Bombyx mori: one gene and its partner. The protein of the gene in region 2 interacts with the protein of the main gene of each other region in a biochemical or structural test. Links are inferred from orthologs where the notes say so. Each region holds a gene or a part of one and is shown on either strand. Other genes may lie near its edges.

Evidence for each region.
Region 1: the proteins of lissencephaly-1 homolog (region 2) and nuclear migration protein nudC form a complex in vitro, tested with the Homo sapiens proteins (3 studies listed by BioGRID). The link is inferred for Bombyx mori from reciprocal best matches to the Homo sapiens genes PAFAH1B1 and NUDC.

What each region holds. Positions count from the first base shown.
Region 1 is NC_085128.1:8,585,569-8,590,162, forward strand, and holds the start of nuclear migration protein nudC, read right to left. Parts: upstream 2,963-4,594; 5' UTR 2,778-2,962; coding exon 2,703-2,777; intron 1,787-2,702; coding exon 1,709-1,786; intron 631-1,708; coding exon 408-630; coding exon of another isoform or gene 403-407; intron 1-402. Other genes in the region: broad-complex core protein isoforms 1/2/3/4/5, read left to right, coding at 4,217-4,396. UniProt on the Homo sapiens protein: Plays a role in neurogenesis and neuronal migration. Necessary for correct formation of mitotic spindles and chromosome separation during mitosis. Necessary for cytokinesis and cell proliferation.
Region 2 is NC_085114.1:11,220,480-11,224,776, forward strand, and holds the start of lissencephaly-1 homolog, read left to right. Parts: upstream 1-1,195; 5' UTR 1,196-1,368; intron 1,369-2,832; 5' UTR 2,833-2,936; coding exon 2,937-2,974; intron 2,975-4,297. UniProt on the Homo sapiens protein: Regulatory subunit (beta subunit) of the cytosolic type I platelet-activating factor (PAF) acetylhydrolase (PAF-AH (I)), an enzyme that catalyzes the hydrolyze of the acetyl group at the sn-2 position of PAF and its analogs and participates in PAF inactivation.

The DNA of each region.
Region 1 (4,594 bases), on a different chromosome or scaffold from region 2:
CTGCAGGTATACTTAAAGAATCAGTTCGTTTTTTATGTCAAAGATGGTTGTAAGCAGTGCAAACAGTCTAATATCAATAGAAGAAACTGAGTGCTGAGAGTCCTTTAGGTAACATACTTATAATCAATGCATATCTAGTCAGGTCATAAATTCTGTCACATGTTTAATGTAAAATAATTGAAGCAAGCATAAATTGACTTTACTATTGTTGAATTACTATTAAAATCTGATTTTACAAAAAAAGCTATTATCATAATTTAAAAATGAACTTGGGAGAGAATATACTCTCTTTCATCCTACTTCTGTTCCTGGGTATGTGCCTAAACAAATTAAATTATAGATAACGCAGGTGAAGCTTTGGGTGGAAAAATAATATAAATACAACTATTAATAAAAAGAAATCATACTCTTTTCATTTTTGTCCTTTTCAATATCTTCCTTTAACTTCTCTGCTTCCTGATCAGTGAGTTCAGTTACAGTAGCAGGTTCAAAATCATTTGCAAGTCTCTCTTGTTCTTTTCTTTGTTGAATCTCTTTTAATCTCTTGTCTGCTTCTTCTTTTTCTTTTTTAATCCTATTAGCTTCATCACATGCTTTTTTAGCATGGGTGTAGAAAGTATCTTTGACTACCTGAAAAAACAAAACTGTACATTGGAGATTTATCCAAAATCAAGTTTCAATTATTGACCCAAGAGGGATTACTAATAGCATAGTATAGCTGCTGCCTAATTAAATTAATGCATCTTATCCACAAATTTATTTATGATATATGAAAATTTATTAAGTTTTAATGTCTTTTATAGACTATTTGCCTAAGCAAAGTTATCAATGATTTTATTTTAATATATATATACAGTCAAAATCTGTTATAACGACATCGAAGGGACTGCTCATATTCAGTCGTAAAAACCGATAGTCGTAACAAACGGTGATGTTTAATGTGTATCGTGCAAGTACAAACAAATAGATAGAGAATTATTGGAAAACTATATTTATTCAACTATGTACATTATGTTTATTACACATAAGTACAATGCATATTATTTTTCTGTAAAATTATTGTCATAAAGCGTTTGAGTTTTTTCTCGCTCTTTCCAAATGGTTGAAATATGTCGAGTGTCCCACTCACACCACTACACCATATTCCTTTGCTAAGTCTTTGTTTGAAATTCCGTTCTCTAGCTTGGATATAATACGCGATTTTTCTTCAATACTGTTTTTTTTTTTTTCGCGACATTTTCAAAGTTTCACGAATAACTCCACAAAGTTTTGGTGCGTCTTGTGTATAGATAAGTAACAAACTAACTGAAAAGATATGAAGAAGCGGGCTTTGACTCTACGGCATGCACATGTTTTGTTTCTAAGAATTAGAAAAGACCCTACACTAAACTAAATCCTATTGCTTCCTTTCCTGATTTTAATACAAATGTGGATACCTATTCAAATTGTTTACAATACAGCTTAGCCAGTCGTTCTAACAGATCTAATTCTCCGAAATATTATGTCGTTTTATGAGGTATGTCGTTATTAGCAATGTCGTATAAAGCAATGTTTTTAATACAGCGGTCATATAGCATTCAGCCGGGACCTTTGTTTTAGGTTATTATAACCGGCATGTTGTTCTAAACTATGTCGCAGTAAACAGTTTTGACTGTATATATTGTTTTTATCTAAAATACTAGTAAGATTATTTTTAAGCAATATATACCTGCTCCCATTCCCCTTCACGGCCACCAGTGAAAAAGTCAGTTTTTCTAGACAAAAAGCTAACTATTGTGTTCAGCAGCTGGAAACAACAAAAAAATAATTAAACTTTTCATCTTTAAAATCTACCAGTGGTAGACCACATTGCAAGAGCTCACAGATGCAACTGCGCCCCTTGCAGCAGACATAGGGAAACATTCCAACTCCCAACAAATTTGATTTAACTTTTACACAATTGAAAACATTAAAAAGTCAAACTATGCACACTGCCCTGCCTATTTTTGTCACAAAATCATGCATTCTGCAATCGAAACTACCAATACAATTGAAACTTTCACCTTATATCTGAACACCTCAAATTATAACACTTAAGACCAAATGAGCTGTGAGATCATTCAGCCTATAGAATAAATAAAGAAATAATAATGTAGTTGTTGATGAATTTCATTACATTAGAAATATATAATTTATTAAATTATTATCAAACACATAACAGTATAAAATGCTCATCATATTTAAGATCAATAACTATGATGAATATAATATGAATACTATGATGAATATAATAATGAATTTGAAATTCAAAATGCAATGAATTAAAGAAAATGTTCCAATTATATACTTTGTCCTAACATTAGTAGAAATAATACTGTTGTCCCTTTCTTTGTGCTTTTGAATGTAATTGTTCAAATTAGTGGATTATGTGTCTGATATTTAAGTAATGAGCTTGTAACTTACTTATTTCTAAAAGTCAACAAAACTACGAACAAAAGTATTAGGGACATCAAGGCTTTAAAAGTAGGTATCTTCCACTAGTAACCTCCCAAGTTTCTAGAATGTGTTGTTATGACAACACGTGCAAGCGATCAATGATATTCAATTTAACGAGAAACAACTAAGCGCTTTGATAAAGACATAATAAAAGTATATTGTTTAGTGTCATGATTTATATCTGTTATATTATTGTGAACAAAGCAAAAATAATAATTTACTCTTACATCTTTTACGCCGCCTTCGTGCTGTTGTGCCATAGCTAGGAGCATGGAATCAAATCTTTCAGGATCGTTTGCCATATTTACTTTAGTATTAAGACGGTAAGTCACAGGTACTTGTTTTTAAAATTACGTAGGTAATACTTTAGTTTTTCAATTATTGCAGCTAGAGTCGAAAAACCGCAACTCAATCTCAGCCAAACAAACGATTTGTTGACACTTATTATATGACAACGTCAACTTGACACGTTACGGTTATGTTTCCATTTGAGGGTACCGTAGAGATGAAATTATTAGAGGTAATTATGACTTTATTGCACTACATGGTTACAAAAAGTATGAATAGAAAAATAAAAATCGAGAAAGCTTTAATTTCCTCGTGAAGATATCGACCGGAATAAGTAAATTATCCGTAACTAAACTTTATAATAAACCGTGTTCAGTGATTACAAAATACCAACCAACATTCTTATTTTCTTTTATTTTCATTTTACACACTATTTTGTGTTTATTGCTCACAAGGAGATAACCAACGATTCTTCATAGCTAATTTGTTGTAATATAAAATAATATATAAAGTATATTCATACTTCATTCGTGGAAAAAAATCCTTTAAAAGTTTTCCTTACTAAATATACTAAAACGTTTAAAAATTCCTTTAAAAGGTTTTAATTTTATTTTAAATTAATAATGTTCATCTATCTCTAAGAACAAGTTGAATGATACATCAAATCATTGGACATATTACTTTGCAGAGAGAAAATAGTTGCCGACACGACAAAACACTATTTTTATTATTAAAGTGAACGAATAGACCCGTAGTCCGTAAGCGCAAGACTTTCAATAGGCAGCAGCTTAGCTCGCCAATTGAGAGTTCTGGTGGTTATGACGTCGACAATCGGAATGACGTTAAGTGGGAGTAAGGTGGTGAAGAGTGAGTTTTCGGGGAATATGTCACCTTTCCCCCCAACATTTATTGACATCTGTCTTAGTCGTATTAGCGATATGGCCTGTTGAGCCACCGGAGATTATAATAGTCAGCTTAACTCTGGCATGCCCCACGGTACGTTTCTAGCATGTAGGTGGAACTCCAGCTATTATGAGAGTTGTTAATTATAGCTTAAAATATGTCTGTTTTCATCAACTATAAATTGTAGTAGCATTTTTGATTTAGTAAAGGGATATACATTATACTCTGAGGTCTATCACTAATCCATCACTTCAAGCATAGAATAAAGACCAAAAAGATACGCAAAATCCATAGACAAAGGAAAGTGAAAGAAAAAGTCAGTGTCAAATCAATGGAGGTCATTGCATTTTTGTGCATTTTCTAAAAAAATAGAGAAGATTTGAATACGTTTTCACAGAAATTGAATGTTTTATTAAAATGTAATTTACTTTACGGAACAAGTTTGTGAGTAATTAATAATACAATTGTTTTTTCTTTCCTTCGATGTCATGTGTCAAAATGAAGTCAGCGAAATATTTTTCTTTTGCAGATATAAATTGAAACCTTAAGAATGGCCGACCAATTTTGTTTACGCTGGAACAATTTTCAATCGAATATTGTGAGTGCATTGGATTCCTTAAAATGTTCTGAAGATTTAGTTGATGTGACGCTTACTTGTGAAGGTAGAAATATCAAGGCCCACAAAGTCATTTTGTCAGCGTGCAGTCCGTACTTCAGGAATGTGTTCAAGGTAAATGACTTAGGACATTAATAACCTTCATATTCATTTACAAGTAAATATGTTATGGTATATGCAATGTCATGCGAATACCAACAATATACCTACTTACTACTAAATGTATGCTATGTTCGTTTATGCACATATTAAAAGGATTTTATTTTCAATACTTTTTTAATGATGGTTCTACAAAATTATATTTTACTTTTT
Region 2 (4,297 bases):
ACTGTCCCATAGACACAGCTAAGTTTCTCTCAGTGGGTCGCATTTCCGATCCGGTGGTAGATTCTGCGAAGCCCTGCTCTTGCTGGGGCCAGTGCTAGACACGCCTCCTAGTTTGAGCCCCGAGAGCTCACCCACACATTCGGGTTACGCTGATCTAGCCTCTCAAGGCTATCAGCTTAATTAAGAATAAATAAATCATTTTCGGTTTTAGCTTTTTAAGTTATTGAATCTTTCACTAAATTATTTTAAAATACGTTTCCTTGGGTAATATCAAGTATGTTTAATGTGTAATATATTTATGTAGTTAGATTATGATAAACCATCATCATGTATTTAAAAAAAACAAAATAGTTACCTCTACTATTTTATCTGCATAGATTAAAGGATAGATAGTAAGATTTTAAAATTTGCTATTATTCTTTGAAGTAAATATTTCGTCAAGTATATTGTTTTTATATGGTTGTTCCGCCTTTCAAGCTACAATTCATGACTGATTCATACGGTCGTCTGATAGCAATACTAACGCAGATAAACACGTTACAGGTTTGATTTCATACTGAGATGTTGGGCATGGACATAATCGCAACATTAAACGATTACACTGAGCACCTGTTCATTTTGCCTAGTATGCCTAATTTACATAATTTTATCTATTAAATGAACAGTTTTCGAAAATTCGATATTTGACAGAGCATTTATTAATTTCTACTACAATAACATAATCAAAACGATGAAAACAGCACATAAAGCAACTAAATTATAAATGAGCTGAAGTATGGGCTCAATTTTGCTCAAGGTTCAAGTGACATGTGGGATCATTCATCAATTATGTTCGCTTTTCGATTTCGGAATATTTACGTGTATGTGAAACATATTCAGAAAGTTAAACTACTAGATTTACTAATGCATTTAAATTAATTACTGTGTTTGGAAAATGTGTGGAGTTTTTGCGTGTATTGTGTTATCATATAATCACTGTAATATATATAATACAACAACTTAGGTTAAAATAAAACTTTTGAAATGGGTCATTAAATTTTTCTGACTATATTTTTTTATAGCAACATTACTTCAAATTGTCAAAAATGACGTTACACAAGATGGCGGGTTGCTAGTTTCGATTTTGTCTTTAGGGTGCAAATAAAATTACTTTGCCAGCTTACAAAATACAAAAATCGAAACTGATGTTAAATTAGTTCATTCAGTTCATTCAGTCACAGAGTTGGTAGGATTTTGACGAAAACCATTGCATTTGCGTGCAACGAAAACGGTTTTCTGCCTCGAGTCTTGTGTGAAGTGCGTTTACTGTGTGTGTTAAATCAAATAAAATTAAACTGTAGTGTAAAAGCAAGTGATTTTTTGTGTTCTGTAAGTATTAATATTTACCACTAACGATTTCTAATTAGAACAGTTGTGTTTCATTATAGAGTGGAAATCCTGTACCACGACAGACGTTCAATATGGCCGTTCTTATGATTATTTTGCGACTATTTAGCAATGTCTTGAAGCAATGAATACTTTGTAAATGGCCATTCATATAAATACATATTCGTAGTTTATTCAGATATTACGTTCGACAAAGCGTAGTTGATGTGGCAATTGACAGCAATCCGCTGGTTTTGACATTTGATTTCTGACTCATTTTGCAGTTTATCCCTGTGTAATTTCAAATGCAGAATTTGTTTTGCGCATTTAAAAGCTAAATCATTACGAAACTGATTAGGAAAATAAAATACATTACAGTGTTATACCAACTTTAGCTTTTATTCTTGTACTCTTTAAATTTATTTAAATACAGGATTAGGATTACAATTTTAAAGTCTGAACATATCCAATAAACAGAGTTGAGGTAATGCCAGGGTTATGCTCATTTCAATATTATATACATAGACTTAAAAATGTTTGCGATGACATGAAATTTTGTTTATCGGTAAAATATTAAAATAAATAATACCTCTTGACAAACTAAGAGTATTAAATTGATTGTTTTAAAGTTTAAACTATAAATGAAAGAATACAAGAATACAATTGTTATGAAACAATAATTTACATATAGGTACTTAAAAACACTTGGGTTTTATGTTTTTATTGCAAATTAAGGTGTTTATGGAATACCAAATACACATCATTATTTATAATATCTGTAAATCTACAATGTTAACCAAGTCATACAAAACAATCATTTTTAATAAACCATCTTTTCATTCTCTGGTTAAAGTAATAAAAAGGTTGTACTGTGAATGATCCTTGATGAATGCTTTTTTTAAATAGAAATATAACATTAAAAATGTTTTACAAAATCTTAAATTGAATATAATTTCTTTGGTGAAAAATATGTCAAATTATTCTATTATAATTTATAATGTATAAAGATTAAAGATGTAGGTCAATTGCATAAAATCATTTTAGAAAAGCAAATTCAATCAAAAGTTTCAGTATAACAATCTTAGAAACTTTTACAAAAAAATAGCTACCATTGTCCTGTGTTAAAAATAACAGTAATACATTTAGTATGGGACAAGTAAAGATTCCCTGTGATGTCAATAAAGAATTGTAATGCATAGAGAGATGTAAAGAGCAAAATAAGCATAGTAATTATAATTTGACATTGTGATTGACCTTAGGGAGAGGAATATAAAAACATATGACCAAGGCGAGAAGACCTAGTTTTAGCCTAATCTATCCACCCACTTTAAAACAATAGTTCTAAGCTCTCAGTTTTTACAGTACAGCGGCTGCCCCACTCTTCAATCTGAAACACATTGCTGCTTTATGGCAGAAATAGGCATTGCAGTGGTATCTAAAATCTTAATTCATTATGTTTGGCTACAGGTGTGATAATGGCAACGGAATTTCCGCCGTCGCCCGCGTGAACAAGTAAGACTCTAGAGCAGTGAACCTCACGTGCGAGCCGCCTCAAGCATCAACCGACCACAATGAAAATGGTGTTGTCACAACGGCAACGAGAGGAGCTGTGAGTATATAGCAAATTTGTCACAAAATATAGGCTTGTACTTGCGATCCTGTCTTCGAAGCCAAACAATAATAATACTATTCTTAACAGCAACAATCGAATAAGGTGTTTTCATAGATTTTCTCGAATTGTACCTCTGATCCTGCGGACTGAATGGAAAGCAGTCGACGTCCCCCATAACACATCATTTCCGATCCTCCCGATCCACTAATGGTGCTTTTAGGTCCCCGAGCACCGGTCATCGTTCTCGTCGAACCCGTCGCTTGCGACGCAGGGCTCGGCGAGTAAATTAACCCACAGACACAACCCACTGAGTTTTTCGCCGGATCTTCTCAGTGAGTCGTGTTTCCGATCCGGTGGTAGATTCTGTGAAGCACGGCTCTTGCTAGGGTTCGTATTAGCAACGTCGTCAGGTTTGAGCCCGTGAGCTCACCTGCTAATTCGGCGAATCTAGAATAACCCCTCGAGGTTACTGGATATGGCAGAAAAAAAATTATCGGATTGTGCTCTAAATTAAAACTGCTTATCTTTATCTTATTAACCTTAGATGATGCAAGAATATTTTCGAATGATAGAAGCCTTTTCTACTGAAAGACCTCAAAACAAACGGAAAAAATGATGGCCCTAAATAACCTAAAAAAAACTTTTTTCAATTTCAACAACAAAAGTCATAATCAAAACTACATTTACAGTTTAATCTTTTGTCCGTGGTCACGAAAATTGTAAAGTATTCGAATAATCGGAAATAATAAATTTAAAATGACAATTGCAAGATTAATCCGTAAAAGTAGTCATAATAAATCTTAAATTATATCTCTCAAAATAATCTTAGATCTCAAATTATAACTTAAAACTAAAACTGAACGCGTGACAGCCAAAGTGTTCTCCTTAAAGATTCACATGACTTAATAAATTTATAAATTATTTTCGCGTTATTAACGTCAATTTACTTTAAGCTCCGTGTAATCGGAAATACTACAAGTTTCAAAATTAAATGCTACTTGCAATCAAATCTAACACAGAGTGAATAGGTATTAAAAATATCTATTTCTGAACAATTTAAACAGTGTGAAATAATAATTTGCGTATCAATGAAAGCCATATCAACTGAATACGTCAAATGCAATATGAAGTCTTCCTAAAATATAGAAAATTTCCAACTAAAATACAGAAAACAGAAAAAAAACAAATTTGTTGTAAACTTTTTGCTAAATGAGGGTGAAAGAAAAATGAACAACGTAACCCGGCGGTAGGTTTTAAAAACATAATTTTACAAAAAATAAAAATAAAATAATTGCGACGGTTACTGTTATTTTCGCATAA